Linked DNA regions of Rattus norvegicus. The protein of the gene in region 1 interacts with the protein of each later gene in a pairwise test. Links are inferred from orthologs where the notes say so. Each region holds a gene or a part of one and is shown in the gene's direction. Other genes may lie near its edges. The genes, in order: Enkd1 and Pnma2.

What was found.
Region 2: the proteins of Enkd1 (region 1) and Pnma2 interact in binary tests that used the Homo sapiens proteins (3 or more experiments, as listed by UniProt). The two-hybrid records come from large-scale screens. The link is inferred for Rattus norvegicus from reciprocal best matches to the Homo sapiens genes ENKD1 and PNMA2.

What each region holds. Positions count from the first base shown.
Region 1 is NC_086037.1:50,500,422-50,514,948, reverse strand, and holds Enkd1 (enkurin domain-containing protein 1), read left to right. Parts: upstream 1-8,532; 5' UTR 8,533-8,822; coding exon 8,823-8,907; intron 8,908-8,987; coding exon 8,988-9,182; intron 9,183-10,058; coding exon 10,059-10,231; intron 10,232-11,904; coding exon 11,905-12,030; intron 12,031-12,131; coding exon 12,132-12,295; coding exon of another isoform or gene 12,296-12,296; exon of another isoform or gene 12,297-12,299; intron 12,300-12,393; coding exon 12,394-12,530; exon of another isoform or gene 12,531-12,536; intron 12,537-12,621; coding exon 12,622-12,782; 3' UTR 12,783-12,986; downstream 12,987-14,527. Other genes in the region: Gfod2 (glucose-fructose oxidoreductase domain-containing protein 2), read left to right, coding at 1-239; C19h16orf86 (uncharacterized protein C16orf86 homolog), read right to left, coding at 6,675-7,111, 7,185-7,429, 7,763-7,980, 8,219-8,302; Pard6a (partitioning defective 6 homolog alpha), read right to left, coding at 13,276-14,030, 14,241-14,463. UniProt on the Homo sapiens protein: Microtubule-binding protein which regulates microtubule organization and stability. Promotes the stability of astral microtubules and facilitates the proper orientation of the mitotic spindle.
Region 2 is NC_086033.1:45,280,170-45,296,789, forward strand, and holds Pnma2 (paraneoplastic antigen Ma2), read left to right. Parts: upstream 1-7,310; 5' UTR 7,311-7,397; intron 7,398-8,699; exon of another isoform or gene 8,700-8,811; intron 8,812-11,452; 5' UTR 11,453-11,581; intron 11,582-11,859; 5' UTR 11,860-12,202; coding exon 12,203-13,297; 3' UTR 13,298-14,970; downstream 14,971-16,620. Other genes in the region: Dpysl2 (dihydropyrimidinase-related protein 2), read right to left, coding at 6,555-6,896.

The sequences.
Region 1 (14,527 bases):
TGGTCTATATGGTTCAGGCCTTGCGTCAATCCTTCCAGGGGCAGGGGGATCGCCGTACCTGGGACCGCACCCCTGTCTCTATGGCTGCCTCATTTGAGGACGGACTGTATATGCAGAGCGTGGTAGATGCCATTAAAAGGTCCAGCCGATCTGGGGAGTGGGAAACTGTGGAGCTGCTGACAGAGGAGCCAGATGCCAACCAGAATCTAAGTGAAACACTTCAGCGGAACAACCTGTGAGCCTGCACATGCACTTCCGCCTGTCCGCGGGGCGGAGGGCCCAGGGACGGCACTGGGAGCTGTGATTGGCTATAGCAGAGACACAGCGTCTTGTTTAATAAATTAGCTTGGGCCAGGGTTAGGAGCCAACTGAAGGTGGCCAAGGGAAAAAACCTATCCATCCGTCCATCATTGACTCCTCAGACTTGCAAGGCAGCAAATGCTCCTGCTGTCGTAGCTTAGGCTAGCTGTGGGCCCACAGGGTAGGGCTGTAACCTGGCCCCTTGTGGCTCTGCCAGTGAGTAGGACCAGTGGGCTGTGGGCTCTTCAGGCTGAAGTGTGGTCTGATAGGACAAGAAGACCCAGTAAGGAGCTAGCTTGGTTGAGTCCTAAGGGGAGAAGGCAAGGAACCTTGTCTGTCTCCGACCAGGGTATCTCAGGACTGGAGAGGGTGGCAGGGTAGTCCTTAGGGATCTTCCCCCACCCTCCATGTGATCAGACCTTTTCAGCCCCCTTGTAAGCCCTTCCAAGAGAAAAAGGAGATTTCTGTGTTATACATAACTCTAGGGAGGAGGGCCTGTGACTTGGCAGAGAGGAGACAAAGGGGGAACTGTAGAACATCTGAGAAATGTCAGTAAATAAGGCAGAAAAGAAAAGTGACATCATGGTGTGTGGTCGTTTGTTTCGGATTGGGTTTCTTTAATAATGGAAGGCTTGTTTATGGCTGTAGGTCAGTTGTTTTCTCCTTTCTTCATGGGCTACCCATCAGCGAATGACTTAGCTCATGGCTGAACCCCCCAAAGCTCCCCAAATGTCTGCAGCAGAGAGGATATGAGGCTCCCTGTTAGGCTGTTGCCAAACCTGCCGTTCCAAGAAGACAGGCGCCTGGGACCCCTAGCCTGGATGTCATGAGAGGTTCTTTTATTTTTTTAAGATGTATCATTTATTTATGTGTACGTATGTGTGTCTGTGTTTGTGTGCACATGAGTTCAGGTGCCCGAAGAGGCCAGAAGATGGCATCAGATTTCCTGGAGCAAGAAGTGAGGTACCTCATGTGGATTTCTGGGAACTGAACCTTTAACTGCTGAGCCATCTCCAGTCCCAGGGTTCTGTTCTGGAAGCTATAGTGTAGCTGGCTCCAGGAGAGCCCTCAGGGGAGGAGCTTAAGGAGGAAGGGGCCTGTGCCATTCCTTTGGAACAGGTTTAACTGGCACTACTTGAGTCAGCCAGCAAGTCACCAGCTGTGCTTATTAACTGGCTATCGTAGATAGGGACAGGGACGGGTCAGCTGGGTGGGGGCTTGAAGGAGGACGAATCTGCCCGCTTTGTTTCCCTTGTCAGTCTTCTGGATTGTGAAGTCTCAATGAAGTCTGTTCTTTCTTCAGTTTTCCTCCTCCTTATCTGGGCTCCTTGCCAAAAAGGCCTGGGGAGGCCCTTCCTCTTCCTCTTCCTCTTCCTCTTGGCCCCACTTGTAGAAATCATCGGACCTATTTCCCTGCACTGTCTGATTTCAAATGTTGTCTTTGTGAGGTAAAGTTGGAGGGCTGTTGCTGTGCTGGTCCTCCAGAGTAAACCAAGTTCAAGGCCTGCCTGATTTATATAGAGTATCCAACTCAGCCAAGAACATGTCTCAAAACAAAACAAAAAATATCCATGCCCATTATCTCTGACCAGGAGGAGCAGAGAAGCAAAGTTGCTAGGTCAAGACTTTAGCTCCTCACCTCATACTGCTCTTATTCCAACACTGGGCAAACTTCTCTCAGACACTTAGGTATTGACCTGCAGCAGGATTTAGCCTAGCCTTATCTACGAAGGCTCTGCACAGTGCCCACCCTCAGGAAGCTAACAAGACTGCCCGTTTCTAGTACGCTCATCTCAGCTGTCCTTGTCTGTTTAACTAATATGCCAAGATTCCACCTAAGTTGAGAATGGCCAGGAAGACCAAAGATGTACCTGTGAAAAAGTGGTTTGCTGACCCAGAAGTGGTGCATAGGTTTTATAGAAAGTTTATGCTCGGAGAACTACTCCCAGTGTTGGAGCAGGTGGTAAGTGGACATTGGGCGGGACTACTTTTATGAAGACACAGTGACTTTGAGGGCACTTCTCAGAGTCTAGATCCACACCCCTGACATCTTTCCATCTCTCTGGAACAAGAACTTGCAGTCCCCGAGGATGAGGTGAGCTGAGCCTTTATGGCTCCAAAGCTTGTGGCTGAGAGCCCAGGGGTGAGCCAGCCAAACTAGTTCTAGACTTATCCTGCAGCGCCCCCTCCTGGAAGAATGCAGCAGTTCCCAGGACTATACTTTTAGGTAGAAGTTTCTTGAGTTAGCTGCCTTTGATATACCCTAGTCAGATGAGAACTTTCAAGTTTTCAACCTCAAAGCAAATCAAGGCTTTTTACTTACCCAGTCATGATATCCATTTCCTACCTCCCTCGACAACTCCGTCTTCCTTGTTCTTTGCTTCATAAGCAACCTCTCAACAATGTCAAGCTATGAGAGAAGCAGACCCCCAAGATACCATCTGTACTCGGAGGGACGGAGAACTCGGCTGTATTGTATCAATCATCCCCGGATCTGTTGTCTCAAGCACTCTCTATTATTGATTGGATATACAGTATCACCTTTGGTCATTTTCCTGATTGGTGGCTTTATGTTTTATATATTACAGGTTTCTAGCAAAAAAATATTTTTACCCATTTTTTAAAAACAAGCATATGTATAGAAGCAGATGTGTAGCAGGACATGGGAGGGCAACTAAGATGTGGTTCTCAGAATAGACAACATTTTATCTTCAGCATAGGCTACAGTAGGCCTGACTCCATTCTCTCACTTAAGTCTCTTACCTTCTTTAGGCTACAATAGTTTATCATCGTTAGGACCCCCGCTTGTTCACAACCCTTCACACTTGTGAAGCCTGAGTCCCTCCTAGCCATGTCCTCTACTTCTACTACACTGAGAAGCCCTCCTGTGGGCATCTTCCACACCCGGACAGCATTGTCCCTGGGTCACCTCAGGCCAGAAAGGCTCTTAAGGAATAAAACTATTGGCATCGCTTCTCCCCAGGGTAAATGGCACTCATCCTACCATCGGTGCCCCTCCATGAGCATAGCAACACTTGTCCCGACGGCCCTGTTGGAATGATGCTAGGAAAGTGGACCTCGCCCATCATGCACCCTGCTAAGACATGCCTGCAGGACTGTGCCTCAAGAATTGTTCTTTAAGCAGAAACATGAACCATCTTCATAGCACTAGGTCCCTGCCACTCCAGCCCTGGAGAATAGAAGGAAGAAATGTTGGTATGCTTGAGTCATGCCACAACAGACAATCTTTTGGTTCACAGATGGTGTAGAACTCTGTGTAGGACAGGACCCGAGTTTAACATAAAGTCATATCTCTGCAGGCATCTTCTACTTCAGTCATAAAATAAGGAAGTCAAACTCAGTCATCTAGCTCTGAAACATCCCAAATCATGAGTGGTCATCTCAGTAGGCAAGACTGTGTCTGCATAGCCCCTGTGGGCAGCGTCACCTGATGTCATCATTGCAGGAGGCAGATGGAGACACATGTCCCAACATTATGGCTTCTCAGTGACCTTGCTGTGGGCCAGAAAGCATTAGAAAAGCTGGCGATGTGGGGAGCAGCCTGAAATGAAGCTAGGAAAGTGGACCATGTGAATTCTGTTGTCACCTGCATCCGCCCAGCTCATCTCCATCAGTGATCGTGCTGGGCTAGTATTCTAGAGGCCTGGCATGAGTTGGTGGGCTCTCCATGTCTTTAGCTGCTTTGTACCGGCCACCTCTGTATCTTCCTCTACTTTGGCCTCCATGCCTCGAGGCCTTTGATGGGAGCCTCCCACTAGGTAGGGGGACCCAATGATGTGTGATCTAGGGGTACACAGTCTAATGAAGATATAGAACTCACAGTGACAGTGGGAATAAAAAAAATGCTACAGATTCAGGGCAATGCAGTGCTTCCTGACTTAGCAGAAAGAGGGTGTGTGTGTGTGTGTGTGTGTGTGTGTATGTGTGTGTGTGTGTGTGTGTGTGTGTGTGTGTGTGTGTGTGTGTGTATCAAGGTCATGCACCAGGTAGAAGGATGAAGGAAAAAAAGGCATAGTAGACCAGGAAAATGAAAGCAAAAAAAGACCAGGTTGATCAAGGAATTCCACGGAGCCATTAAATAGTTTCAAAGCAGCTTTGAAGAAGAGCAAGATGCTAGAGGGACAGAGACATCAAGAGTACAGGTACTCTGTGTGACAGCAACATCAAGAGTGCAGGGACTCTGTGACAGTGACATCATCAAGCACTCTATATACAGCAGGATTTTGGTATGAATCTGTGAGATCAGAGATCAGAGGGAGGGGAACTTGAGAATCTTACCCAGAGATGTCTGAGGTCCAGGCCCTGGTGCTGACCCTCTCAACAGAGAAGATGGATTCTCTTGTAGGGAACAGGGTCAGTGGTGACAGCAGAATTTTAGCTTGGGACAGGAAGAAATGCATTTAATGCGGAAAACTCTGTCAAAGGTTTTGGAGGACCAGTAGTTTTGTCTCCACAAATCGCTCACTCAGCTCTTTCCAGAGAGCTGTCTTTGAGACCAGAGGCAGCAGTCCTGCAGTGAAGGCCTTACAGCTCCAAAAAATACATTCATTTACCACCACGCATCACCAGGGACCATCTGAGGGCAAAGTATAGGCTGGCTTCTATGACAATGGGTAGAGAACAGTTTTAAAAATACTTTATGTACTTGAGTGTTTTGCCTGCATGTTTGTGCACTACAGTATGTACCTGGTACAGGAAGAGGCTGAAAGTGGGGGTTAGATATCACCCAAGACAGGAATCAAGAATGAGGTATTGGAAAAAAAAAAAAACAAAAAATAAAAAAAGAATGAGGCATTGGGAATTGAACCTGGATCCTTTGAAGGAACAGCTAATGTTCTTGGTTTGTTTGTATGGTTTGGTTTGGTTTGGTTTGGTTTGGTTTGGTTTGGTTTGGTTTGTTGAGAGGGTGTGGGGAGGGAGGATTTCTCTGTGTAGTCTTGTCTGTCTTGGAACTTACTCTGTAGACCAGGCTGGCCACTAACTCACAGAGCCCCAACTGCTTCTGTCACCTGAGTGCTGGGTTTAAAGAAGTGTGCCACCACTGCCCAGCTTAGCAAGTAGTCTTTTTTTTTTTTTTTTTTTTTTTTTTTTTTTTTTTTTTTTTTGGTTCTTTTTTTCGGAGCTGGGGACCGAACCCAGGGCCTTGCGCCTCCTAGGTAAGCTTAGCAAGTAGTCTTAACTAGAGCCATCTCTCTATTCCCCCTCCTTTTTCTTCCAGCTTTTCAAGAAAGGGCTTTTCTGTGTAGTCCTGGCTGCTGGGACCAGGCAGATTAGCCTCAAACCTAGAGAGTCACCCGTTTCTGCCTCTGAATCCTAGGATTAAAGGTGTGCATCACCAAGCCTGGCTCCTTTTCCTGGTTTTTTAAAGACAAATCCTCATAGAGTACACCCTGGCCTTAAATTTACTATGCAAACGAGGCTGGCCTTTAACTCATTGTACACCTGTTTCTACCTCCCAACGGAAAGGGCAAAGTAAGGCCTAAGCCTAGCTCATCTGCTACAGATATGCAACACCACACCTGGTTAGTAACAAACCTTCAGACAGAAGTAAGCTGAGCTGAGCTGCACTGAAGATTGTCAGATCCAGGCCAGAGGCCTGGACAAAGCAGAATCCAGACAAACTGCCTGGAAGGGGTTGAGACCAACTGAGATACCTGGAAAGGACTCTCCAACCTGGTGCGCTACCTTCGGACTATGCAATGTGCTCCAGGTTTCCATATTTGTCAGCTGTCACTCGTGCTATGTCGAGCTTTGGTGATACAACCATCTTGGCATTGTTTCTGCTCCCTTAAGTAATCCCATTAAAAACCATTGGTTTTGGGCTGGAGAGATGGCTCAGCAGTTAAGAGCACTGGCTGCTCTTCCAGAGGTCCTGAGTTCAGTTCCCAGCAACCACGTGGTGGCTCACAACCATCTACAATGGGATCCAATGCCCTCTTCTGGAGTGTCTGAAGACAGCTGCAGTGTGCTCATATACACAAATAAATCTTTAAAAAAGGAAACATTGTTCCCTGTAGTTGGACTTTGGTGGTGTATGTTCTTTGATCTGCTGTGGGCTCCCAGTCTAGAGTGAATAGACATACACTCTGACACAAGTCTGGGTAGTGCTCAGGAATCTGTCGTTCAAGGTCCCCACTGTTCCAAATAATCAGTCATCCTCCCTTCTCCCCAACCTCTTTCCTGATTCAGGCATCATATTTGAAGAATCAGTCTCAAAGGGGGTAAATGTTTATTTTCAGTGAGCGTAAATTCTCAAGTATAGACAAAAGACTAAATCCCTTCTTCCATCTGATGGCTTAGGCCTACGGGCTTAAAGCCATAGTTTAGGCCTAGACCCGGACATTCTCAATGGGTCACTTGTACTGAGGGGACAGCGGGGGCACAAGAGGGGCAGCACAGACACTCAACATCTTGTCAATATCCACTTGGGTTGTCTTATCCACCTCAGCCTTGAGGCTGCCACTCACCCTTAGACTAGACAAACCCCCAGGCTCCTCTCCAACCTCCTCTACCAGAGGAGGAAGATTATGGGTCAGTGGTGCTAATGGATTAGGGCAGGGCAAAGCAAGGCCTAAGCCCAGCTCACCTGCCATGGGCAGCAAGGTCTGCAGCTGCAGCTGCTCCACACCTGCCTCCTCAGGAGCCAGGGCTAACTCCGACTCAGGCTCAGCCTCCGGTTCCCTGTCCCCATCCCCTGCCTGATTCAGCTCTGGGTTGCAATAGTTGATGTACTGGTACAGTGGCCGCAGGCGCTGGGCTTTTCCTGCAAGAACCCAAGGCACAGCAAAGGCTGGAGCACCAGGCTGTGCCACGTCAGACTCAAAGACAAAGGGAAAAACAAAAGCCCAGGGATTGCCACTCACGCTCCAGCCCCAAGGTCTCTGTGGGTGCAGATGCGCTGGCCACAGCTGGGGGCACAGGAGCCCCTACACTCTTGCGTTTCTTGGCTTTTTTGTGCTGTTTAGATGACAGCGAGGATTCACTGTGGCTGCCTTCTGGCTCCTCCTTCTGTAGCAGCAGCCCTGGTGGCAGTTCGGCCTCTGCCCTAGGATGGGCATGGTAGCTTTGCCCTGGGAGGGCTGGGGTACTCAAGCCTGGGACAAGAGGCCTGAAAGAGGTAGGCTTCAGTCTTTGGTTCCTGTGTCTTGAACCTAGGGCTTACCCCTGCCTGTCCACCAAGCCACACTAGAGCTAGTTAACTGTCCATTTCTTAGTGAAGTTCCAAACCCAACAGGGGCCCAGCGTTCAATGGTAGCTAAGTCTCCTACAAGACTAAGAAGCCCCAAATCCACACCCCCGCCCCAACTGTTCTAGAGAAACAGGAGCTGGAGGTGAGGGCATTAGAAGAAAACAAGGTTCTTTGCCTTGAAGGAATTGGGATTTAGGAATCTCCAGGTCTAAGACCCACCTCCCCAGCCTTTCCCCTTGAAAGCCCTCTCACTTTCTCTTGGGCCCATGAGCTGGCCTCACGATGGATGATGTAGGCTTGGGTCCTCTCTCCTCTCCTGCTTCCACCCCTGGATTGAGCCCTTCCTCTCCCAGGTTTATTCCTTCCTCCTGGAGCTCTGGCTCTAAGCTGTGTCCTACTGGACACCTGTCTTCACCTGGAGTGCTGCAGGTCTCGTGTGCTGGCACCAGACACTCTTCTGTTCCTGGACACTAGAAGACATACATAGGTAACTGATAGCCCATGGTCAGGCAAAGCCCAAAGCTGCTGCAACTGGGGCATCTCTCTTGGTTTGGGGGCCTCTCCTAACTACATATTGGCCACAGAATAGGAAATCTTAGGTCCCTCTACCTGCAGGACTTGGCCTGGCAGTTAGAAGGTTGGGTCACCTAGAGTCCTGCTCTTCTGCCCTACCCCTCCTCCTCCTGAGCTTTGAAATGCCCAAGTCACCTCAGGGATCTCTGCAACCTGGGCTAACCCTACTGCTGCCCCATTCTGGGCTTCTGGCTGCCTCTTGGCCCCTGCTGAGGCCATGGCAGGAATCAATGCATCCCTCGACGGTTGCTCAGAGAAGACCGCAGGCCCAGAGCAGGGCTGGACCGGTGCTCAGTGTTGGTAGGGGAGACAGGTTGAGAGGTAAGGATCCTGTTGCGACCCGAGACTTAGACTCGCTCCTCATCTGGAACTACAAACCCCAGAAGGCATTTCGCCTTAGTCATTTGACCCCTGACCTCAGGAAGCCATTTGTTGCCAAGCAACAGCAACTCCTACCGACTTGCTACAGTTGGCGGTAAAACTGCTGCAGTGAGAGTCCACGCTGGGGCTTTGCAGGGGGAGGGGCCGCGAACCCCTCAGGGCCGTGTGCTAGTCGCGGGGCGGTGGTACGGGCTGAGCTTAGGAAACGAGCGGTAGTCGAGGGGTGGGGGTCAGTGATGGGGGGTACCACGGGGCTACAGAGCTCGGGTGGAGGGTGGAAACACCCGACAGGGATTAGAGGGGACATTTGCACAGCGCAACAGGTCCTGATGCACAGTTGCAGGGCTACGGTAGGATCATGTGCGAGGGCCCGTCCCGCATCTCTGGACCCATCCCCCCAGACCCTACTCTCTGCCCGGACTACTACCGGCGGCCGGCCTCGGGTGAGTTGCGGGGTGCCGCGGCGGGGCGAGTACCCCGCCCCACCTCTGAGCACGGCTTTCCACCGCGTCTTGCTCTTCAGCCCAAGGACGCCTGGAAGGAAACGCGTTGAAGCTGGACCTGCTGACTTCAGGTCGCGACCTGGACTCCAGCCCTCCTCGTGGCCCTCGCATCAGGCCTGGAGCCCGAGAGATCCTAGAGCGTGGCCAGCGAGGTGTGGGGGACGTGCTGCTGCAACTGGGGGGCATCTCCCTTGGTTCAGGGGTCTCTCCTAAGAGTAAGTCCTTGCAGACGGGGTATTGAGGCATTCATAGGTCAAAAGCAGAGATTAAAATAGGGTGCTTCTTAACCGCCTTGAACCCATTCAGTTAATGTGTTTTTCTGGGTCTTAATTTCTCTAGCCTAAAAGAAGGGCAAAATACTTCTTGCAGGATCAGAGTTCATCCTTCTGCAGAGAGCTCCAGCTTCAAGCTTTCACACCTTGATAGAACAGTTCCCTTAATGCCTACTTTGTGCCAAGCCCTATGGTTGTTAGGAAAACAAGGTTAAAAAGTATGGGAGTTGTCCCAGGGTAGGGTAACACCCAAGGGGGGCTTCCCCTTCACTGAAGAGAAGGGAAGGGGGTAATAGGGAGCCGGATATGACAGGGGCAGGACTGGGGTGGGGGTTACAATTGGGATATAATGTGAATTAAAAAATAAGGGGCTGGGGATTTAGCTCAGTGGTAGAGCGCTTACCTAGGAAGCACAAGGCCCTGGGTTCGGTCCCCAGCTCCGAAAAAAAAAAGAACCAAAAAAAAAAAATAATAAATAAATAAATAAATAAATAAATTTTGGGGAAAGAAGTAAGGGAGTCAATAAACAAGACAGGACATATGTATAATATACTCGGTGATATCATAAAATGTAGAAGGTAATCACAATTTCTGTGTAAGGGAATAAGCTGCTAATGTTGCTGTGTGTATGGCATTCAACTTCCATGTAGAGGTCTTGGTTGTATTTAAGAACTTTGTGTGTGATATTGGAGATTGAACCCAGGGCTTCTCATATACTGGACATCTCCCAGGGGTAGGGTGTGAATCTGTATGAGATCTAGTCTGAGTTGCACAGCCATTCGTAGGGCTGTTCCTAGCAACATTCCTCCCCTCCTCCAGGGAAGGATCCAAAAGACCATGAGAAGGAAAACTTGAGGCGGATCAAAGAGATTCAGAGGCGATTCCAAGACCAGGAACGCAGCCGGGAGCAGGCCCAGCCCAAGCCCCTGAAGGCACTGTGGCGCTCACCCAAGTATGACAGTGTAGAGTCTCGAGTCAAGGCCAGGATGAAGGTATCTGTCTCAGGCAGGCGGACATATCCATCTTGGCCAAGGCAGTTATATCTAATCTAACTTACGGGGTGTGTGTGCGTGCGTGTGTGTGTGTGTGTGTGGTGTGTTCACAAAGACTAAGACATCTGGTGGACCTTCTCTGAGGAACTGATGGCATCAGGGCAAGTGAGGATTAGGCTAGAGGAAGAAAAGGTTCCCCAGAGATGAAACCCCACAGGTAGGTAAAAGTTCTGGGCTCAGGGAGTAGGGGCAATGGGCATATAGATATAATTCTATTTGTAGGGGGAAAGCAGAAGGTTAGAACAGAAAGCCAGTTAAATACATATCTGAAAGAACTACCTAAGTTACTTATCAACATGTGATATTGGAGATTGGATCCTGGGGCACACGCACACTGGGTACTCATAAAATTATATCCTCAACCTTCCTACTAATTCATTCTCAGTTTCTCTGTCTCTATCTCTATGTTTCACGTAGCCCAGGCTGACCTCAAGTTCTTTGACTTTCTGATGCTCCTTTGTTCACCTACCAAGTGCTGGGATCAAAAGTGTGCGCTACCACGCTGCTTTCTCTCTTCTTTTTCTTTTAGTTAATTACTTTTTTGAGATTAAAAAAGACCAAAATTATGTGTCTGGGTGCCTGCATGTATGTCTGTGCACCACAGAGACCAGAAGAGGGTGTGGATCTCCCGGAACTGGAGTTACAGAGAGCTGTGAATTGCCACATGATACTGGGAATGGAAGCCACATTCCCGGGTAGAACATCCAGTGTCCTTAACTGTTGGGTGCTATCATACCCCACCACCACCACCACTTCCACTGCTACTTTGTTTCTAGACAGGGTCTCACTGTGTAGCCTAGTCTAACTTCAAACTCCTGTAGCCCAGGCTGGCCTTGAACTGGCATAATTCTCCTTCCTGTCTTAGCCTCCCAGATGTGGACAAAATGGGTTTGGACCACCACTCCCAGATGATTTCTCTCTGAGTTGGTAGCTTGCTGTTTAGCCTTAGGCTGTCCTTGAATTCTCTCTGTAACCTAGCCTGGCCCCAAACAGTTACTTCTGCGTCAGCCTCCTGAGTCCTGGGACTGTAGGCATGTACCACTATTTCTTGCAACATTTTTTTTCCCCTGAGGACAGAGGCAGTGGTTAGGTTTTGGAGGTAGTTACTATTTCTCTATCCAGGGACCCTGAAAGAGACTCAGGATTGAGAGAAAAGACAAGGTCACCTGAGATTGTATTTAGGCTGAAGCATCTGTGGCACTGCCAGGGGGTGGGACTGTGTCCAGGAAGCAGATGGATACAAAGCTCTGGGTCTCATTGGTGAAACCAGAAGGTTATTGACAATTAAATTGAGGACAATGGGGCTAAGAGAGCAGCATCCTTTGGTCTTGAGGGCTTGGAGGTAGCCCTCAGTAATGTGGGGTACTAGAGCTAGAGGGAGGAAAGGATGCTAGTTAAATGGGGCCAAAGGGAGATAGCAAAGTAGTCATTTTTTAAGACTGTGAGAAATAAGCATATTTAAATGTTGTTGAGAAGTTCCTTCAAGGAGGAGGCCCACAGAGATGAGCATAGAAAAGTTCTCAGAGGAAGGAGGGACAGAAAGGGGAATGGTCTTGTGGTTTAGGACCCTGACTTCAGACTCCCTGATTCTTCTGCCGTACCCTACCTTCCAGGAGCTTGGCCCTGCCTCTGTGACAGAACCTGCCCAATTTCTGCGGGCACACTCCCGCTGTGGCCCTGGGCTCCCACCATCCCGTGCCTCCAGTCCTCAGCTCACCCTGCCAGGTTCCAAAGCTAAGGTGAGAGGGTCTATGAGGATTTAAAGGCCATCTTCCAGGAGTCCTGGGGGCAGGGTAGGTACAGAGATACAGTCTCCACCATGCTTGCCATGTCTCTGCAGGGACCAGGCTTAGGTGTGGACTTCATTAGTCACAATGCCCGAGCTGCCAAGAGAGCCCCCCGGCGCCATTCCCGCTCCCTGCAGGTCCTTGCACAGGTTCTGGAACAGCAGCGGCAAGCCCAGGAGCACTACAATGCCACCCAGAAAGGCCATGTTCCCCATTAGTAAGTAGGTCTTGTGGGCTGAGTGCAGTGAGGGAATCCTGTGGAGGGCGAGAACCATTCTGCCTTGGTGTCATCAACCTGGGCCTGTGCATTCACAGCTTGTTGGAACGCAGGGACCTGTGGCGGAAGGAAGCTGAAGCTCGAAAGCGTAGCCAGCCAGACCCTTCCATGCCTCCTGGCCACACGCTCATGCCTGAGAATCAGCGGCTAGAGACACTGAACAATCTGCTTCAGAGTGAGTACATGGGCAAGGGTGGCTGAAAGGGAGCTCCTGGGAGAACCATGCATGCCTACCCAACACTCACACTTCCCATGCCCCCTTGTAGGCCAGAGCAAGCTGCTTCGTGAGCTAGTGCTGTTACCTGCTGGGGCAGACTCTCTGAGAGCTCAGGGTTACCGTGCAGAACTGGACCGGAAGTTGGTGCAAATAGAAGAGGCTATCAAGATCTTTTCCCGACCCAAAGTCTTTGTGAAGATGGATACCTAGCCCCTCCCCCCCTTTGTGGGTAGATTAATAGGGAGATCCATGTTTAGGATCAGCTCATGGCTGCAAAGGGCAGACTCAAGCCCTGTTATAGCTCCAAAGCATTGGGGTGGGCAGAATCGAAAGCACTTCGTAGTTACCAGTGGCTGCAGAAGAGCCACCAGCCTCCCAACTTCTCTGTCAAAATTAAACCGTTTGTACACAGTGGCTGTGTTCCATAGGAGCTGTCTTAAAAATGCCAAGCCCAGTGGGCCTCCTGCTGCATCATCAAAGGAAGGTCTCTCCCATGCTCTTATTATCCTTCCTGTCTTGTGCCCACAGAAGAAGGCTGACTTACAGGGTCAGAAGAGGTTGGGGCTGGAACACAAAAGGACCATGTCTACATTTGTAGAAAACCTTTAATGTTCACCAGGTTGAGCGGGCTCTGTGAGCAAGCTAATCTCCCTCCCCAACTGGAAAGTCCGGGCAGCAGTGACAAAGGCTGCACCTTTGCCTGTCAAAGGCTGAATCCACTAACATCACCTCGCATGCCATTCCCCCAGCCAGAATTGGCTTGCTCTCTGCTATCCAAGGAGGGCAGAGAGCTGCCAGCACTAGGAAGTAGGCAGCCAGGTTGCAGGTCCCAGCACAGGGGTCCCTGAGACAGCCCATTAGAACAGGGAGGGTGGCGATTTTCAATGACCGGGTCACTGTTGTCATCGTCACTGTCAGGATCAGTAGGCCCAGGCCCTACAGAAGAAGGCCCTGTCAGACGCCCAGATGCCCCTCGTACCACATTATTACGCTGGTTGGCAGGCTTGACAGTGACAATGAGGTTATGGCTGTTGGCAACCATCATGTCCGTCACTTGGTCCAAGGTCTTCCCGGCCACCTCAATGCCGTTGACCTCGAGGATCTCATCACTGACCGCCAGCAGCCCTGTGCTCTCAGCCAGGCCCCCACGGACCAGGCGGGAGATGAAGATCCCAGGTACCCGCTCCAGACCCTGAGGAGCCACACGAACACTCATGCCATCTCGAATGTAGAAGCCCAGGGGACGGTCTGAGCCATGTTTGTGCAGTCTCACACGTCGATGGGTCTCAGGTAGTAGGTCCACGTCTATAACTGAAGACACCTGGCGGAAATCTTGGGGCAAGCTGATTAACAAGGGTGGCCTGGTGCGCAGAGGTGCCACTGGTCGTAGCAGGAGCCCTTTCTTGCGCCTCTGTAGAGAGTTGGAGGCAAAAGCCAGGCCACTCGAGTCACCTTCTGCTGCAGGAGAGGGGGGTACTAAGATTAGAGACTCTTCTCCCATTTGGGCCCATGCTATGGACAATGCCACTATTTTCCTGCTCCTTGGAGGTCAGACCAAGGGCAGAGGCTGCAGAATGTAAAGTCTGAGAGCCCTGGGTATGGTCTACCCTAATATACCTGCCCTGTCACCCTACCCCAAGGAAGCTGCCCACTGTACCCCATCCTCACCCCGTTTCTGGACCAACAGGCGCAGAGGTGGGGGCCCGCTGGCCAAGGCCCGGTGCAAACTGTCATCATTGGTGAGGGGCAGCAAGTCACCGTGAGCATCCGTATAGCCAAGCAGCACATCCAGGCCAGGGATCTGGTGTACCACACACAGCAACCGCGAGAACTCCTGAAAGCCTCTCACTGAAGTGCGGGGTAATGCAAAGCGTCGGAACTCGGCGTCAAACTGGAGGCGGGAGGGAAAGGGGAGAGGAGTGTCAGGACAGAGCCCAAGCCCCTTTCTCACTACA
Region 2 (16,620 bases), on another chromosome or scaffold:
CATCGGAAGACTCACAGGGTGGTTAGGACAGCTCCATTCTAAGCCCTGTCCATGCACTTCCCAGATTAACAAGGCCTTCATGGTCAGGTAAATAGACAGCAGTGAATCTCCCCTTCCTGATTTTCAACATGGTGACAACACATCTATCAAAGGCAAGATTTTGAAGTCATGTGGATGCAACAAGCTGCCACGGAGACTCAACAGTGGAAGGTCACAGTCGAGAGTCAAGGCATGATTCATAAGTAATGGGTGGGGTTGGAGAGAGGTTGTTTGTTTTCTTTAAGAACTTGTCCATTTCTCTTTTCGGAGCATATTCCTAGTTTTGAAATATATTAATGTCATAAGCCAAAGAACTAGGGTTTGTTTAAGATAAGATCATTTAAAAACCTTTAAATCGTATTTATTTATTTAATGTTGAGCAAGTGTGTAAGCCATAGTAACATGGGACTCAGGTGACAACGTGGAGGAGTTTGGATTTCCCTCCCATGTGTGTGGTTCTAGGGCTTGAACTCAGAAAAGTGCATTTACCCGTGAAACACCTCACCGGCTTGAAAAATCCCAGGTTACATTCATACTTACTATGTGGTCAAGGCTGGCCTTGAACTCCTCATTCTCCTGCTTCCACTTCCCAAGTTCTGGGACTGCAGGCATGTGCCAGAACATCTGGCTAGCCACAAGGCTAGGGCTAGAGTGTGACCAAGAGTAGAGGCCTCTACCCTAGTCACAGGACTGCCAACTGAGGTTCAGGGGTGAAGCCCTTTCTTCCTGCTTAAATGATGAAGTCTCATTTGAGCTCTGGCCTTCAAGGTAAAGACAGCACCTATAGTGCTCAGACAATGGTCAATTCTGACTTTCCCTCTTTTCTCAAGGAATTAGAAAGATATTGTTGCGTCAAAGGACACGTGAAAACTGTTGTCTTGGTTACAATGGTGGCTCAGCCCAGCCTTAATTCCTTAGCATGGAATCTGTACACTGCTCAATTTTCAAACGGTTGGGGCAGGTCTTGCTGGTGGTGGGCCAATGGTAATAGCCTTCCTCCTGAGCTACACTGGAGAGATAGCTGTGGTTGCTTCACCAGCAGGCTGTTCTTCAACTTTGGCCTCAAGTTCAAGGCTGGCGAATCCTACTTCTTCCTCTTACAATTAATTAGTTAATTGCACATCTACTAACTGAACAAGCTTTTTATTAATGATGTGTTGTAATTTTAAAAATTATAAAATTACTGTTAAGCATTAAAAAAGAAAAAGACTGGGAGATGGTTCAGTTGGTTAAGTGCTGACCTTGCAAGCTGACCCTCAGAAGTCATGTCAAAAGTTGGAAGTAGTGACAGCACTGGGGAGGCTGAGGCAGGAGGACCACTAAGAGTTTCAAGTTACTGACCTGGATCTAGGCTCCCAGCCAAACTTCCACCACACATCCATTCTCACACAAGAATCTCAAGGGACAACTTGGGTATTAGCCAAGTACACGGAGGTGCAGGTTGAACCACCAGGATTCCTCTGTAGCCAACATTTGGGGATGTTGAATGGAAGAAGCAAGAACAAACGGGAAGAGAAGGAATTTAAAACACAGTGCCCTTGAGAGGAAAAAGGAGTAGAGAGAATGGGGTAGGGAGGCTGTCATGGGTCAATGGGGACCTAAAGCTGAGGGATAGTCAACTTGGGGAGAAGAGATGTGGACCTAGAATGGAAGGGAATATTAAAAGGCATTGTATAGGTGTGGTCATTGTCTCAATCCAATTTATGCTACTGTAAAGAATACATACATTGGGGCTGGGGATTTAGCTCAGTGGTAGAGCGCTTACCTAGGAAGCGCAAGGCCCTGGGTTCGGTCCCCAGCTCCGAAAAAAAGAACCAAAAAAAAAAAAAAAGAATACATACATTGGATAACTTATAACAAGGACATTTTCCTTGTCCTTTATTTTATTCTATTATATATTTACTTGTATGCATATGTGCAGATATGCATGCATAATTATGTATGTGGTGCTGTACATGTATGTACATGTGTGCGAAAGCCAGAGGTTGACCCTAGGTATTCTTCCTGGGGACATCCATCTTGTCTTTTGAGACAAAGTCTCTTCCTGGGCCGCAGGGATTACTCCTTTGACTAGGGTGCTGCCCATGAGACACATCTTCCCAGCGGTGTCTCCCCAGCTCTGAGATTGCAAGCACACACCACCATAAACCACTACTTTTTTTTTTTTTGAGACACCATCTCACTATGTAGCTAAGGCTGTTCTGGAACATATTAAAGACCAGGCTGGTCTTGAACTCACAGAGCTGATCTGCCTGCCTCTGCCTCCCAAGTGTTAGGATTAAAGGTATACACCATGATGCTCACCCACACTCATGTTTTTCTGTTGGCACTGAGGATCAGCTCAGGTCCTCATGCTTGTGCAGCAAGCACTTTATTGACTAAACCATTCCATTTTCCCAGTCCTGATTGAGAATTACATTTGGTGCTTGAATCCAGAGGCTGAGAAGTCTAAGATTACACCATAAGCCTTCATCATTGCCATATGACATGGTAGAAAGCATCATATGGGCAAAGAGGAAATGCTACACAACTCAAGAGTCTCAGGTCCTTGTGTCATCAATGTTGACAATGTAAGGGTAGGGTGCGCTCATTGGCCTTGCTTCCTAAGACAGCACTACAGTGGGATTTAAGTTTCCTGTAAATATCTTATGGAACACTTTTGAGCCACATCATGATGCTGCCAAGCTCAGCAGAGCTCTGCAGAGCCCACTCACTGGTTCCTGTCCTAGACCAGGGGACAGTTACTTCCCCAGCTTGGTAGCAGTCTGCACAGGTTGCTCATGGTTAAATGGGGTGAAAGATCCTTGAAAAAGGCTCAGGATACAGTATCCTAGGATGAGAGGATTATTCTGACCTAATGGAATAATGGAAAACAGGGATTCCAGGAGAAAGGGTGGATGGAGCTCAAAGATCCATGTTCACTGACAAGTGCAGTGGTTAAGCACTAAATGTCCTCCAAAGGTATGTGTGTGAAGTCTGGATCCCTGGGGAGGTGCTACAGATCTTTAAGAAGTAGGATTTCATAGGAAGTCCCAATGTCATTGTGGGTATGGGGGATTATTCATTCTCTCTCTCTCTCTCTCTCTCTCTCTCTCTCTCTCTCTCTCTCTCTCTCTCTCTTTCTCCCCCTCGTTCCCATGTCTGCCCCCATTGCCAAACCCATAAGGCAACTGATCTTGGACCTGAACTTCTGGAACCATGAGATTGAACAAATCTATCTTTATTTATTTCATAAGTACCCCAGTTCAGTTTTTCTGTTACAGTGGTGTGAGGCTTACAAACACTCTAAAACAGCTGTCCTTTTGTTCTTTATCCTAAAAGGCTCAGGTCCTTCCCAGCTAGGAATCAATATAATTTCATTGCATCCCAAACTGGCCCCTGGGAAACACATGGGAAAAAGAAGCAACAAGACAGAAGAAGCTTTCCTTAGTCTCAACCCCTCCATTGGCTCTGTCAGGGCAAACCACTCCTAGTGCTTTCTGGTTATGGGCTGCTCACACTGCACATGGTGCTTCATCATCCTTGGGAATATATCCACCAGCCCCTTTCATCTCCCAGAAGTGATGTAGTGATGTGGCTGAGGACCCTGTTCTGGCCCTTTCTAAGCCTTTCTAGAACAGTGGGATTCATGGTGGGGTGTGGAAAATGAGCAAATTGCTGCTTCTTTTTTTTTTTTTTTTTTGAGACAATATTTTGCCATGCAGCTCTGGCTGACCTATAGCTCACTGTGTAGTTCAAGCTGCTCTTGAACTCATCAAGGTCCACCTGCATCTGCCTCCACCTGCATCTCCACCTGCACCTCCACCTGCATCTGCCTCCACGGTGTGGATGAAAGGTGTGTGCCAGTAAACTCAGCAACTCTGACCGCCCTTAAGATTCCTTACAAGCACAGGTTCAAGATAGAAGGGAACATAACCCACTCCATCTACTCTTCTCTGTGCCAGGGCTTCTAGAAGAATGCTCCAAAAGCTTGAAGACACCTTGTCATGTGCTAAATACAAGCAATAATCACTAATTCTGTCAAAAGAGTGAACCAGCTGAGCTCTCAGAAGTCACCATCATTATACATATATGCACAGCCTCTTGTGAAACATGAAAAATTCATATACTGTAAGCACCAAGCTGGGTAAATGTCCCTGGTTATGAATGACAAAACCCCGCAGGAATGCTCCTTTTGTGATAAATGAACCAGAGAGGGTTGTAGAAAGGCAGCCGAGCCAGAAGCAATGTCTAGAACTAATGACCAGGAAGCTGAGAAGAGATGGCTTTCCAGGGTTAAAACTACCTAAGGATCTGGTCTGGTGCTTTTGTCTGCAAATTGCCCCCTCCCTTCCAAGTGCCTCAGCTTTGCAATTTAGAGTTTCTGTAAATTTAGGGTGTGTTCCAACAATTGCTCCTGATTCTCCAGCCTTTCAGGCTAGAATATTAACATGCTGCCTTTGTGGCACTGAGGTCACCTCATTTGCCACCTTTGCATGTTCTCTTACAGATTCTCCAGGTGTGGTCCTGCTCCTTCCAGGCTGTTGGGATGACCCTCACACCTTGCCTACTTGAGAGTGCTCACTCAAACTCAGTGTTATGTGATGTTGGTTGTCACCAACATACTCCCATACGGACTCATTTTATACTTACCCAGCTTTTAGTACAACATTGAAATATATGGTTAAGGTTGTAGCTCAGCGATACAACACTTGTTTAGCAAGCACAGCCATTGAGTTCAGGCCTCAGCACCACAAAAGAAAGAAAAGGAAAGATAGGTAGGTAGGTAGGTAGGTAGGTAGATAGATAGATAGATAGATAGACAGACAGACAGAGAGACAAACAGAGCAAACTGGTAATCATGGTGGCTCAAATCTATAATGCCACCGCCCAAGAGATACTGGGATTGTCATGAATTCAAGTCCAGCCTGGACTACAGAGTGAGACTCCATCTTAAAAAAAAAAAGAAAAGAAAAGAAAAGAAAGAAAGAAAAGGAAAAAAGAAAAAAAAGAAACATTTACTTCAATTGACCACCTGAAAAAAAAAGCAAGCCTTTTGGATTTAGATTCCAGTTGCCTCTTAGTGAAATATAAATATAAAAATTAGAAGATGAATGGGTGTAAAATAAATGATTACTTGCTTCATCTTTCAAAAATAAAAGGAAATAGTCTCTCCACCCCTGCCACCTCCTTTGGTGAGAAGTGATCCTAGGAGAGTCAAAAGCTGGAACACTCTGCTGTGTCAGGAAAGAGGGAGGTTTCCCCAATCATTGCCCCCAGAGCTGTTCCCGGAGGCTTTCTCTGTAGCATACAACCTGAATGCTGGGCAAGCCCCCAGTGAGCATGTGCAGACCATCCCCAACTTCTCCAGTGGCTGTCTGAAAGGAAGCGCCTTTAGGACTAACCTTCCTCCTGCCCTAGAAGGGAGGGCACACAGGATTCAATATAAAGTCATTCATAGACTGGTTTCTTATCTTCACCACGAGCATGGGACTGAAGCAGCAACGTGTAAGACATATGCACTGTAAACGATCAGTTGAGGCATTAAAGCTGTGAAAAAAATGTTATACTAGCATAAACGTCACCCTGAAACTGAAGGAAATGTGTGTGAAAAGACCCCTGGACTTGAAACGTGCACTGCTGGGAATTACTGGAGCATGTCAAACATTTCCCATGACGAAGGATAACCAAGCTAGCCTTCTTTGTCTCGCCATTAACACAATCGGGGAGTCTTGTCTTCAAATGTGAGTCCTCCCCTCCCCACCCTCATTTTTCCTTTCCTTTTTGGCTCTTTGAATATAATCCGTGCGGTCTCTCCCCATTCCCAAAGTGCCTCCCAAGCAGCGCTGGGGAAGCGCTCTGGGAAGCCCTTGCCGAGACACTTAGCAGAACTTTGTTCTCCACATGGACTATTTAGCTTTCCTCGGTGACATCACAGCCTCCCAGGCTCTTCACTGGCTGCAGAATACAGTCCAGGCAATGGTTAGAGGCTCCGGGCGCTGGCCGTGGTCCTGACCTCCGAGCTCAGAACCATGGTGCTGAGTGCACTCAAGGCGGAGACCTTGCCACACAGAGTAGCCATGTAAGCCCCAGTCCCTACAGACCCCAAGGGAGCCCTCTAGCCTTCACTGCAGCCTTGCACTGCTCTCTTTGAGCTGCATCAAAAAAGGGTGGGGCACTGAGACGCAGCTGCAATCGGATGCCGCCCGGGAGGATTTAAGAACAGCACAGTGGTCCACCCCAATCGCCACTCGACGCCTCCAGCCCGGGGATCAGCTGGTCCCTGACGCGGGTCTCCCACCTCCCAGGCACAAGAAGATGAGGGCAGCCTTTGTGGGCGCTCAGACGCCCACTGGCGAACCCGTGCCTCGCCGCACCCTGCGCGGTGAAGGGGTGGGCAGGGCGCGGTGCGCGTGCAGATGCGGGAGGCAGAGCTCTTGGCGCCGCGTGCTGGCTGCCACGCGGGGATGCTCGGTCCTCCGCGACAAGCCAGGGTGCAGCCCCGCACTCTGTTCCCACCCACCCCCCATACCAACCTGATCGTAGATGTTCTGCAGAGCTTCCTTGCCCGAGGCCCGCCGGATCTCCACCTTCCGGCCCGATTCAACAGATGGCTCCCCGCTGGCACGCCGGCTCTGCCGGTGCGGGTCCGGGCCCAAGTGGGCGACATCCCGCTGCTGAGCCACCACCTGCCCCGAGCCCCGGCCCACTGAAAGCGAGTCGAAATCGATGGTCTTGTTCTCCGAGGATCCTTCCACGGGGCAGAACATGCCGCAGAATTTCTGCCGCGGCTTCGGACTGCCCGAACCCAGGTTTTTAAAAAAGGCAGGGACCTCTTCGTCCTCTGCTGCCTTCCCAGATTGCTTTCTCTCGGCCATGGCTGGGGGTGCGCTAGGGAAGGTTCTGTCTGTCTGTCCGTCCGTCCGTGGTTCCCTAAATCTCCCTGGTTGGGTGTGCACTAGCCTCTTGCTGCTGCCGCGGCTGCTACTCCCTGCCTACCGCAAGGTGCACAGAAAGGATGGAGGGCTGGCGAACCGGCGACCCACCCCTCGCAGTCCCTCCTCCTGACCCGGCTTTCTCCCTCCCTGCCCACGCCCCCCGGCGCCGCCACGCCACCTCCGAGCAAAGTTGGATCTGAGCTGGGCGGTCGCTGCGGCAGAGGATGCCAGTTCCCGGCAGCGCGGGGAGGGGCGGGGCGGGCGGAACGCGCGATCAGAAGGGAGGGGACAAGAAGGGAGGGGACCCAGAAGGAGGAGACGGAGAAGGGAGGGTACGAAGGGGTGGGGGGCGCCCTAAGCCCGCGCTCCGGAAGTGAAGCGGCCACTCCACCCGCTAATGGACGCACAGCAGCCGCCGGAGAAACCGCTCTCGGCGCCAGGGTGAGTGTCCGAGAGATACAGCTGGGCAAAGACCGGAAAGAGCAGATCCTGGCCCAGAGTCCCACTCCCCAACCTGCCTCACTGCATTGCTAAGGTGGCCCTGGAGCTCACCTAGCCTCGGTGAGGGCTGAGGGTTGGGGGAGCCAAGGGCCAAGCCGGCAGGCTCTGGGAAGCTGGGGAGGGGTGACCCTGGAAACAGCAAGGGCATCCAAGTATTCTGGCACCAATGCTTAAGTTTACCTACGATCTAGGGGCCGAGGCGTGCACTGCAAGAAGCAAAAGGAAAGGAGAATGTTCTTCCCGCTTGCAGACGCTGTGGTTGGGAGGTGGGGCTCACAACATGGCGGGGGCAAAAAAGCAGAGGGACGTAGCAAATGGAAGCGATGACCGGGGGTGGGGGGTGGGGGTGGGGGGAGCAGCAACCCTGTAGTGCTAGAGGGAATAGTAAAGAATGCAGGCTGTGGATTGAGCCTCAGCATAGAGACTGGGAACCCTCAACATTATCTGAAAGGGCCATGTCCTGCAGGTAGCCCATTGACTCAGGAAGGGTTCAACGAGTCCGGGATTTGATATCTCCCACCCCCCCACCCCCCACACACACCCTGGTTACCCTCACTCCCACCCAAAATGGTTGGGGTCTAAGCAGACCGAAGCACACTCGGACTCATCTTGCTTTTCAAGTCGCCTGTCTGGCTCCCCTAGCCCCTGTTGCACGCTGCGCCAGAGGCCCCGCGAGTTTGCCCGATGATCCTTCTCTAGGGGCCGCAGTGGTCTGTATGGAGGGTAGAGGTAGACCGCTGTTTTGGGGAAGGTTACATGTTGTGAATTGTGGGGCAGCCAAAGTGTGGGGATTCGGAGTGTGTGTGCATGCACACGGTTCAGCCACAGCCGCCAGGTTCGAGGCTTAGTCCCATCTCCTGGAGTGCTTTAAAGCCCCTCCCGTTTTTCCCGAGTGGCTGAAACCTGAAGAAGTGTTGCCCATCCTTTAGGGGTTCTGGATGGAGATCTGAGCATGCTCACGAAGATGGATGGGTTTGGTCTAGGAGAGGCAGTTTACTGCAGCATGTTCTCACAGGGCGTTGTGACCAAGAAATCAGACCCATTGTCAGCCTTAGCTTAGGGAACGATTGCATGCGGATACCAACGCCCCCTGTTGCTGGAGATAGCTTGATGGATGGAGTCTCTCTCTCTTCTCTCTCTCTTCTCTCTCTCTCTCTCTCTCACACACACACACACACACACACACACACACACACACACACACACACACACACCACACACACGCCCCACACCATCCTGTAGGAGCTGAAAGGACTCCATGGGAGGAGAGCCGATGGACCTTAGCACCAGATGTGCTTGACATTTTAATAGAAATTTTCCACTGGAATTGTCAATGCTGCACTAAAGTCCTGAGGTGAGGTCTTTCAACCTCTCTGCCTTCCAAGTTAGAACACCAGTGTAGGAGGCCTTATGCCTATGGTCATGTGTCTAATTGAACTACCCGGTAATTCTGCCCCCCCCCCCAGCCTGGTTCCTTCAACAGGTTATCCTGTAGGCCCCTTTAGTGAGAAAAATACAAAATCCTTGCATTCTTCCTCCATACCCGAATATTTCCTTAGTGGCTCTTTGTACATTAAGGGTGTTTCACTTATGGTTTTAAAATTATTTTTGATTAACTTTCATTTTATGTATGTATGTATCTTGCTGGAATATATGCACATGCACCGTGTACATGCCCGGGGCTGTTGAAGGCCAGACGAAAGTGCCAGATGCCCTGGGATTGAAGTCACAGAGTAAGCCAACATGTGGGTGCTAGGAACCAAACCTGTGCTTTTAACCACTGAGCAGTCTCTCCAGACACGTGGGGCCTTTAAGACTAGTGGATTTTCACGTGACAATTTTTTTCTGGATCTGGGCATCCAGTGCCATTGGTTGGCTGTGTTTTTCTTTCTTGTTTGTTCGTTTTCTGTTTTGTTTCAGTTTTTCAAGATAGGATTTCTCTGTGTAAAAACCCTGGCTGTCCTGGAACTTACCCTGTAGACCAGGCTAGCCTGGAACTCACTCACGGAGTTCTACCTGCCTCTGCCTTCCAAATGCTAGGATTAAAGGCACATGACACCATTGCCTGGTATGTCTCTTTTGTTTTTGCTCTTTCTGAGAAAAGGTCCTTTATGTAACCCCAGGCTGGCCTCAAACTCCCTATGTAGCCTAGTGAGTTAAACTTCTGATCCACCTACCTTCACTACCTAAGTGCTGGGGTAATGGGCATACGCCACGATGTCTGGTTTGCACAGTGCTGGGGATCCGACTCAAGGCTTTGTGCATAGTGACAAGCACTCGACCAACTGAGCTACAGTCTTACCCCTGCAGTGCTCATTTCATCTCTCATTCCTCCAAGTGACTCCAAGCGAATGAATATGGGGAGGAAGTTCATTCCCATATTTTACAAGGAGATCTCAGGCCTGGGTTGGTCTGAAGTTCTGGGCCCCCATTCTGTCAGACACAGGGTGAGGTAGCACCTTGCTCTCCCGGTTTTGGCACAGAGGCCCAGTCTTCAGCACCTTCCAGGAAGAGTGGATCTGCTCCTACTGCTGCCATAGTTAAGGCCAGCATCTATGGCATATGGCCTCCTTCAGAGTCATGGGAAATGTCCAGGCCAAAGGGGGATGGTTGTAGCACCCTAACATACCCTCTACAAGTGTCTGAGAGGCACGGCCAAGCTCCAAATTACAACATATCAGGTAGCATACCACATGGGCCCCATAAGAACGCACAGTCTAGTGTTGGCACTCTGTGACTTTTAGCCAATTAGGAAGCTGCTTCTCTGAAGGCATCCTCGTGGCTAAGGGGTCACACTGTCACTGGGAGCATCCCCTTTTACACTTCTAGTTCTCCCCAGCCCTTCAAAGCAAGCATGGGGCACACATCACTTAGTGGTGAATATGTTTTCTGCCTTTTGTCTTTTTCTCAATGGCCCAGTCAAATTTAAATGACAATGTTAAATTTAAACATCTTAGTTACCTTTCTATTTCTTTGCTAAAGCACCATGACCAAGGCAACTTATAGAAGAAAGCGTTTAATGGGGGCTTCCAGTCTCGGAGGGGAAATTCATATCCATGCTGGCCAGGAGTATGGCAGACAGGGAGGTACAGTGCTGGAGCAGTAGCTGAGAGCTTATATCTGATCCACAAGCATGGGACAGAGATTGACCATGGGAATGGTATGGACTTTTGAAATCTTAAAGCCCACTGTCAGTGATGCACCGCCTCCGAAATCCTTCTCAAACAGTTCCACAAGCTAAGGACCAAGCATTTGAATACATGAGCTCATGGGGCCCATTCTCATTCAAAGCACCACAGGGGGAGTTGGATGGGTGACTTTCCATGTGTGGCCCTTGAAAAAGTCTGGCTAGACACAAAACCTGAAGAGGACTGACTTGTAACTCCAAAGTGTACTTCTTTTTCTGAGATTTGAATTTTCTCTGCTATACCCATGTTTAGTTAGTCTTAAGTGTTTGAATGGATTCTGTTTAGTTTTGTTTGTGTCTTCTTTTGAGACATGATGTCTCTATGTAGCCCAGATTCACTTCAAACTTGCAATCCTCCTGCCTCAACTTCACAAATGCTGGGAGTGCCACCAAACACAATTCGGTTGGATTTGTTTTTAAAGATGGTTCTCATGTAGCCCACACTGGCTCACACTCCCTGTGGCTAAGAATGATCTGAAACTCCTGATCCTCCTGTCTCCAGCTTTCCAGTGTGGGGATTACAGGGATGTATTACCAATGATTGCTCAATTTGTATGGTGCTGAAATTGGACTCTAGGCTGCCTAAAGGCTTCTTCCAGGCAAGCACTCTGCTAACTGAGGAGCATCCCCTGAACAACTCTTTCTTCAAAGAAGTGTAGTGACACTGTCCTGTTTAGGTTGCTCCTTTAAATTCAGAGGACGGTCATTTCTTTCATCCTTTACTGAACTGTTACGTCTTTAATAAGGGCATTAATCTTTGTTACTAGATTTTAGGCCTAAAAACATGTTATTCATGTTTGTATAACAGGACAGCTTGACTTGGCTGAAGGTAAGACACATGTATACTACTGTATAGAGGTGTGTGACATCTTCCTGATCTGGAAGCTGAGTACGTGGCTCCTTGACTCTTGAAGAACATTCTGGAACACATAAACAGGTATTTTACTACATCTGCTAATTCATCCTTTTGATGAAGGGTGAAGGTCTTGAATCCTGCTCACTGACGGGGTTTTCAGGGTGGAAAGACTGGATTTTATCTGGTCCACACAGGGAAAAAGTACAGTCGGCAAAAAAGGGGATTCACCAGAGTGGGGTAGGCACAAGCACAGTGGGAGTTAGAGCCCTTGGTCCACTCCTAGTTTCACCCCACACTAGAGTGTGGGTGTACCCTGGGACATAGAGGGCTATGTATAAAGTGAGTCTCTGTTTCCCTAGGAGTCCTTGCTTCCTGCTGTGTGAGTCCCCAGCGTCGGGTGCTAGAGTGGACACCACCTACCCACTGATTAGAGAGAGAGGTGAGGTGACAGAAACCAGGAGACTGTTGTTCCAGGTGCCTCACAGTGACCAGAGTCAACACCACACAGCTACAACAAACCCTCGGAAACAGCAGCAAACGTACTGCAGAGCAACAGCCCACCTTACCTACCATCAGCCTTGCTGTGGGTCTGAAGACAGACAGGGAGCGTCTGGTTCTTGCTACTGGGTGAAGAGACAAGGCATTTGGTCCACAAGACTTTGAGCGGCTTGGAGACCAAGTGCAAAAGCACACCCTGGGACAATGGCAGTGGCCCTGCTGGAGGAGTGGTGCAAGATCATGGGTGTGGATGTCCAGAAGTCCCTGCTGGTGATTGGCATTCCTGTGAACTGTGGTGAGCTTGAGGTCCAGACAGTCCTACAGGAGGCGCTGAAGTGTGTGGGCAGCTACCGGCTACTGGGCAAAATACTCCAGAAGCAAGACAATACCAGTGCTGTCTTACTAGAACTTATGGAGGACACGGATATGTCTGTGGTTCCCAGTGAGGTGCAGGGAAAGGGAGGTGTCTGGAAAGTGATCTTCAAGACCCCTAATCAGGACACTGAGTTTCTCCAAAGACTGAACCTCTTTCTAGAAAAAGAAGGGCAGACGGTCGCAGGGATGTTCCGAGCCCTGAAGCATGAGGGAGTGTCTCCAGCCACCACACCCTGCACATCCCCCGAGTTATTGGCCCACTTGGTAGGGCAGGCAATGGTTCACGCCCAGAGGCCTCTGTTGCCTGTGAGGTACTGTAAGCTGAGAGTATTCTCTGGGAGCACAGTAGCTGCCCCAGAGGAGGAGCCCTTTGAGGTTTGGTTGGAACAGGCCACTGAGATAGCCAAAGAGTGGCCCATCCCTGAGACAGAAAAGAAAAGGTGGGTGACAGAGAGCCTCCGTGGCCCTGCCCTGGACCTCATGCACATAGTACAAGCAGACAACCCTTCTATCAGTGCAGAAGAATGTCTGGAGGCCTTTAAGCAGGTGTTTGGGAGCATGGAGAGCCGTAGAACCTCACAGGTCAAATACCTAAAAACCTATCAGCAAGAAGGAGAGAAAATCTCAGCCTATGTGCTCCGGCTGGAGACTCTGCTCCGGAGAGCTGTGGAAAAAAGGGCCATCCCCCGGAACATTGCTGACCAGGTACGTCTGGAGCAGGTCATGGCTGGAGCCAACCTTAGCAACGTTCTTTGGTGCAGGCTACGGGAGCTGAAGGATCAGGGCCCACTGCCCACGTTTTTGCAGCTGATGAAGGTGGTCCGTGAGGAGGAAGAAGAAGAGGCCTACTTTGAACACGAGAGCAGAGAGGAGCCAGGGGAAAGGGAGGGCTCTGGCCGCTGGGACAATTCAAGGAACAACTGACAGACATCCCTACTCCATTTCTGATCTGGTAATGCTTGACAAGGCTAATCCCATTCTAGTGCACTTTGCTTTAAAGTGCAGGACTGAAGTCAAGCATTAGGAATGAAGGTTTTGGGGTTTTTTGTTTTTCCTTTTTCTTTGGTTTTGATAGGTTCTCACCTTATAGCCCAGGCTGGCCTTGAACTGGTATTCTTCCTGCCTCAGCCTTCCAAGTTTGGAGTTCTGGGATTAGAGGAATATACTACCACTAGAGCTCCATCTTGTTTTTCTTTCTGAGGTAAAAAAAAAAAAAAAAACCTGGAGTTTGAGGGACTCTAACTAGATTGTTAAAAAAAAAAAAAAATACAAGACTAAGTTCCAATACCTAAAACTCCTGAATCTTAGTTTCCTACACAAGGGTTGGCCAGACAGCTTGGTTGGTCAAGTTGCTTGTCAGTCTCTTCAGACGGAGTGATAATGTGAACAGGAGATAGAAACTGGCCAGGCAGGGGCTGAAGAGCTACTCGTCAGCAACTAAACACACTTGCTACTCTTTTGAAGGGATCCCAGTACCCATGCGGTGGTTCCCAACTATCAATAACTCTTGTTTCAGGGGATTCAACCTCTTCTTCTGGTCTCTTTAAGCACTGCACACATGTGGCACATACACATACATGCAGACCAGACACATAAAATAAAAACAAAACCTTAGGAAGGAAAGAAACAGGCCGGGCAGTTTCTAGGCATTCCCAATGTATCCCTGGTTCTCTGGTCCTGTCCCCTTCCTAAGGGTTACACTTGAGGGTGGGACCTTTAGCCAGACACTAATCCATTTGTGGATAGCTGTAGAATTAGGTCCATAGATTTTTTCATGATAAAATGGCTTATATCTGTTCCCCAATTTTAGCCCATCTCCTAAATGATTTTAGGGTTACCTCATCAGAGGGGAGAATTTACAGTAGCCTTAGTCAGGGCTCTTCTGAATCTCATTCAGAGAAAACCGTTGCCTTCTGGTCAGAAGAATGGTCTAAGCAGAGACATACCATTGCAGGCTAACCACAGCATGAGTTAATCCAGTTGGACAGGTTCATCGCCTGGCTAGTGGACTGCCCATCAGGAAGGCAGATTCACCTTCTCTATGCTAATGAGATGGGAAGAATAACTATCCCTTTAATGAGGTCATATACTTTTCCTTCCCAGAATCCCTGCTATCTATACAGCCACTACAGAACCACCATGAAATGTCATTTTCACTTTTTCCTTTTCGTTTTCTGCTTTGGCACTGGCCCAGGTTTAAGTACACACTCTCTAGTATTCTGGGCTGTTTCTCTTTCTCCATGTGGCTACATGCTTACCTTCTACCTACTCAAAAACAGTGGCTTCTCTCTTCCTTTTCTCTATTCCTTCTTCCGGGCAGTTTTGATCCCCATAACCCATGGGGTAGAAGAAGAAAACCACTTCCTGCAAGCTGTCATTACACACCACACACACACACACACACACACACACACACACACACATACACACACACACATTCATGTAATTTTTTTTTTTTTTTTGGTTCTTTTTTTCGGAGCTGGGGACCGAACCCAGGGCCTTGCGCTTCCTAGGTAAGCGCTCTACCATTGAGCTAAATCCCCAGCCCCATGTAATTTTTTAAAACCACGCCAAGTAGACCAATGTTTACTCATACCACAGAAGGATAAACTGACCTTATTTAAAACAACAACAACAACTTACGTGAAACACATATATCCTGTGTGCAGCAATCTACTCGTTATAGGGTGTGTGTGTGTGCTTGCATGCATGTGTGTGTGTGTGGAGGAGGGGCAGTGCTTGTGACACACCTCACAACAAGAAAGAAGCAAAGCTCTACTGAGTTAAATGGTCTCAGCACCAAAAGTGCTCAGAAGTGATACCCGAACAAGACTTTAGGAATCCACCCTTCGTTGTGTGTCACTCCAGTGTGTTTTCTCAGTTCTGTAGAGGATTGATTTTTAGGCAAGTGTATTTTAAACTCCTTAAGTCTCGAACACCCAGCAGGCAGTATCAAGTGCGCTAGTATCAGGTCTCAGGATGTCAGTGTTCACCAGGCTTGCTTTTGTTTCCAGACTCACCCATGGCTGCAGAACAAAGCTGCCTGCTGGCAATGGTGTGCACATTCCAACCAGCCTGTGGCTGTGCACAGCCTTGAACAGCTAGCATCGTGAGCACGTGTGTGCCAAGTCAAGTGCACTAGGGCACCATACACAAATGCTGCTTAGTTAACATGCCAGACAGAGCTCAGGCACAGCTAATGTACAGCCTGTGGTAGATCCCTGTGCACCATAAGCAAGTTGTTTAGCTTCTTTGAACGTCAGTTTCCTTATCTAAAAAATGGGCTGCCATTAGGATCAAATGGTATTTTTGTGATAGTTGTCAGCTCAATGCATGGTCTCCTGACTGTTCTCGGGTGGAAACAGGTCACAATGTAACAGACTTCTGTTGCAGTCATGATGCTCCTGCAGTCAGAAAGCATGTTGGTTCTTTTTGGAAATCAGTGTGCAACAGCTGGTTGTCCATACTTTTGGTAAGTGTTCCAGAAGTGGTTGGTAATTAGTTGACTTAACTTTGAAACAATGACCTGTTCTTCTGGGTTGTGGGTGAGTTTAATTGAAGAATAAGAAGTTGTAAGAGTGGTATTTTTTTTAAAGTCATCATCTGTGATGGTTTATCTCTCGAAACTATATTTCTCAACACTGTCCAGCCACAGCACTGTGATTGTCCCTGACCATTCTATGCTGATGCCGTGTGGTCTTGTGTTCCTGGGAATGGCTTTGCCGTTGTATTTACCAACAGACTTCAGAGTTAAATGTTACCACTGTGAAGTTACCAAATAAATCTGAGTGAGTGAGATCCTGAGTTATTTTCTGATTCCTCTATGTCTGAGTGATCGAAGGAGCTTCGTTACTAAAAAACAAAACCAAAGCAGACTGAAGGGGCTGGAGAGGTGACTGTGGTTTAGGGCACTTGCTGATCTTCCAGAGAACCTGAGCTCAGTTTCTAGCACCTACATAGGGTGGCTCATAAGTACCTGTAACTCCAATTCCAAAGGATCTAACACCTTCTTCTGGCCTCTCAGGGTACCAGCATGTACACGGTATTCACACGCACTTAAAAATGAATCTTTAAGCCAGGAGGTGGTGGCGCATGCCTTTGATCCCAAAACTCGGGAGGCAGAGACAGTGCTCTGAGTTTGAGGCCAGCCTGGTCTGCAGAGTGAGTTCTGGGACAGCTACACAGAGAAGCTCTCGTCTTGAAAAACCAAATAAAAACATAATAAATAAAACTTAAATAAATCAATA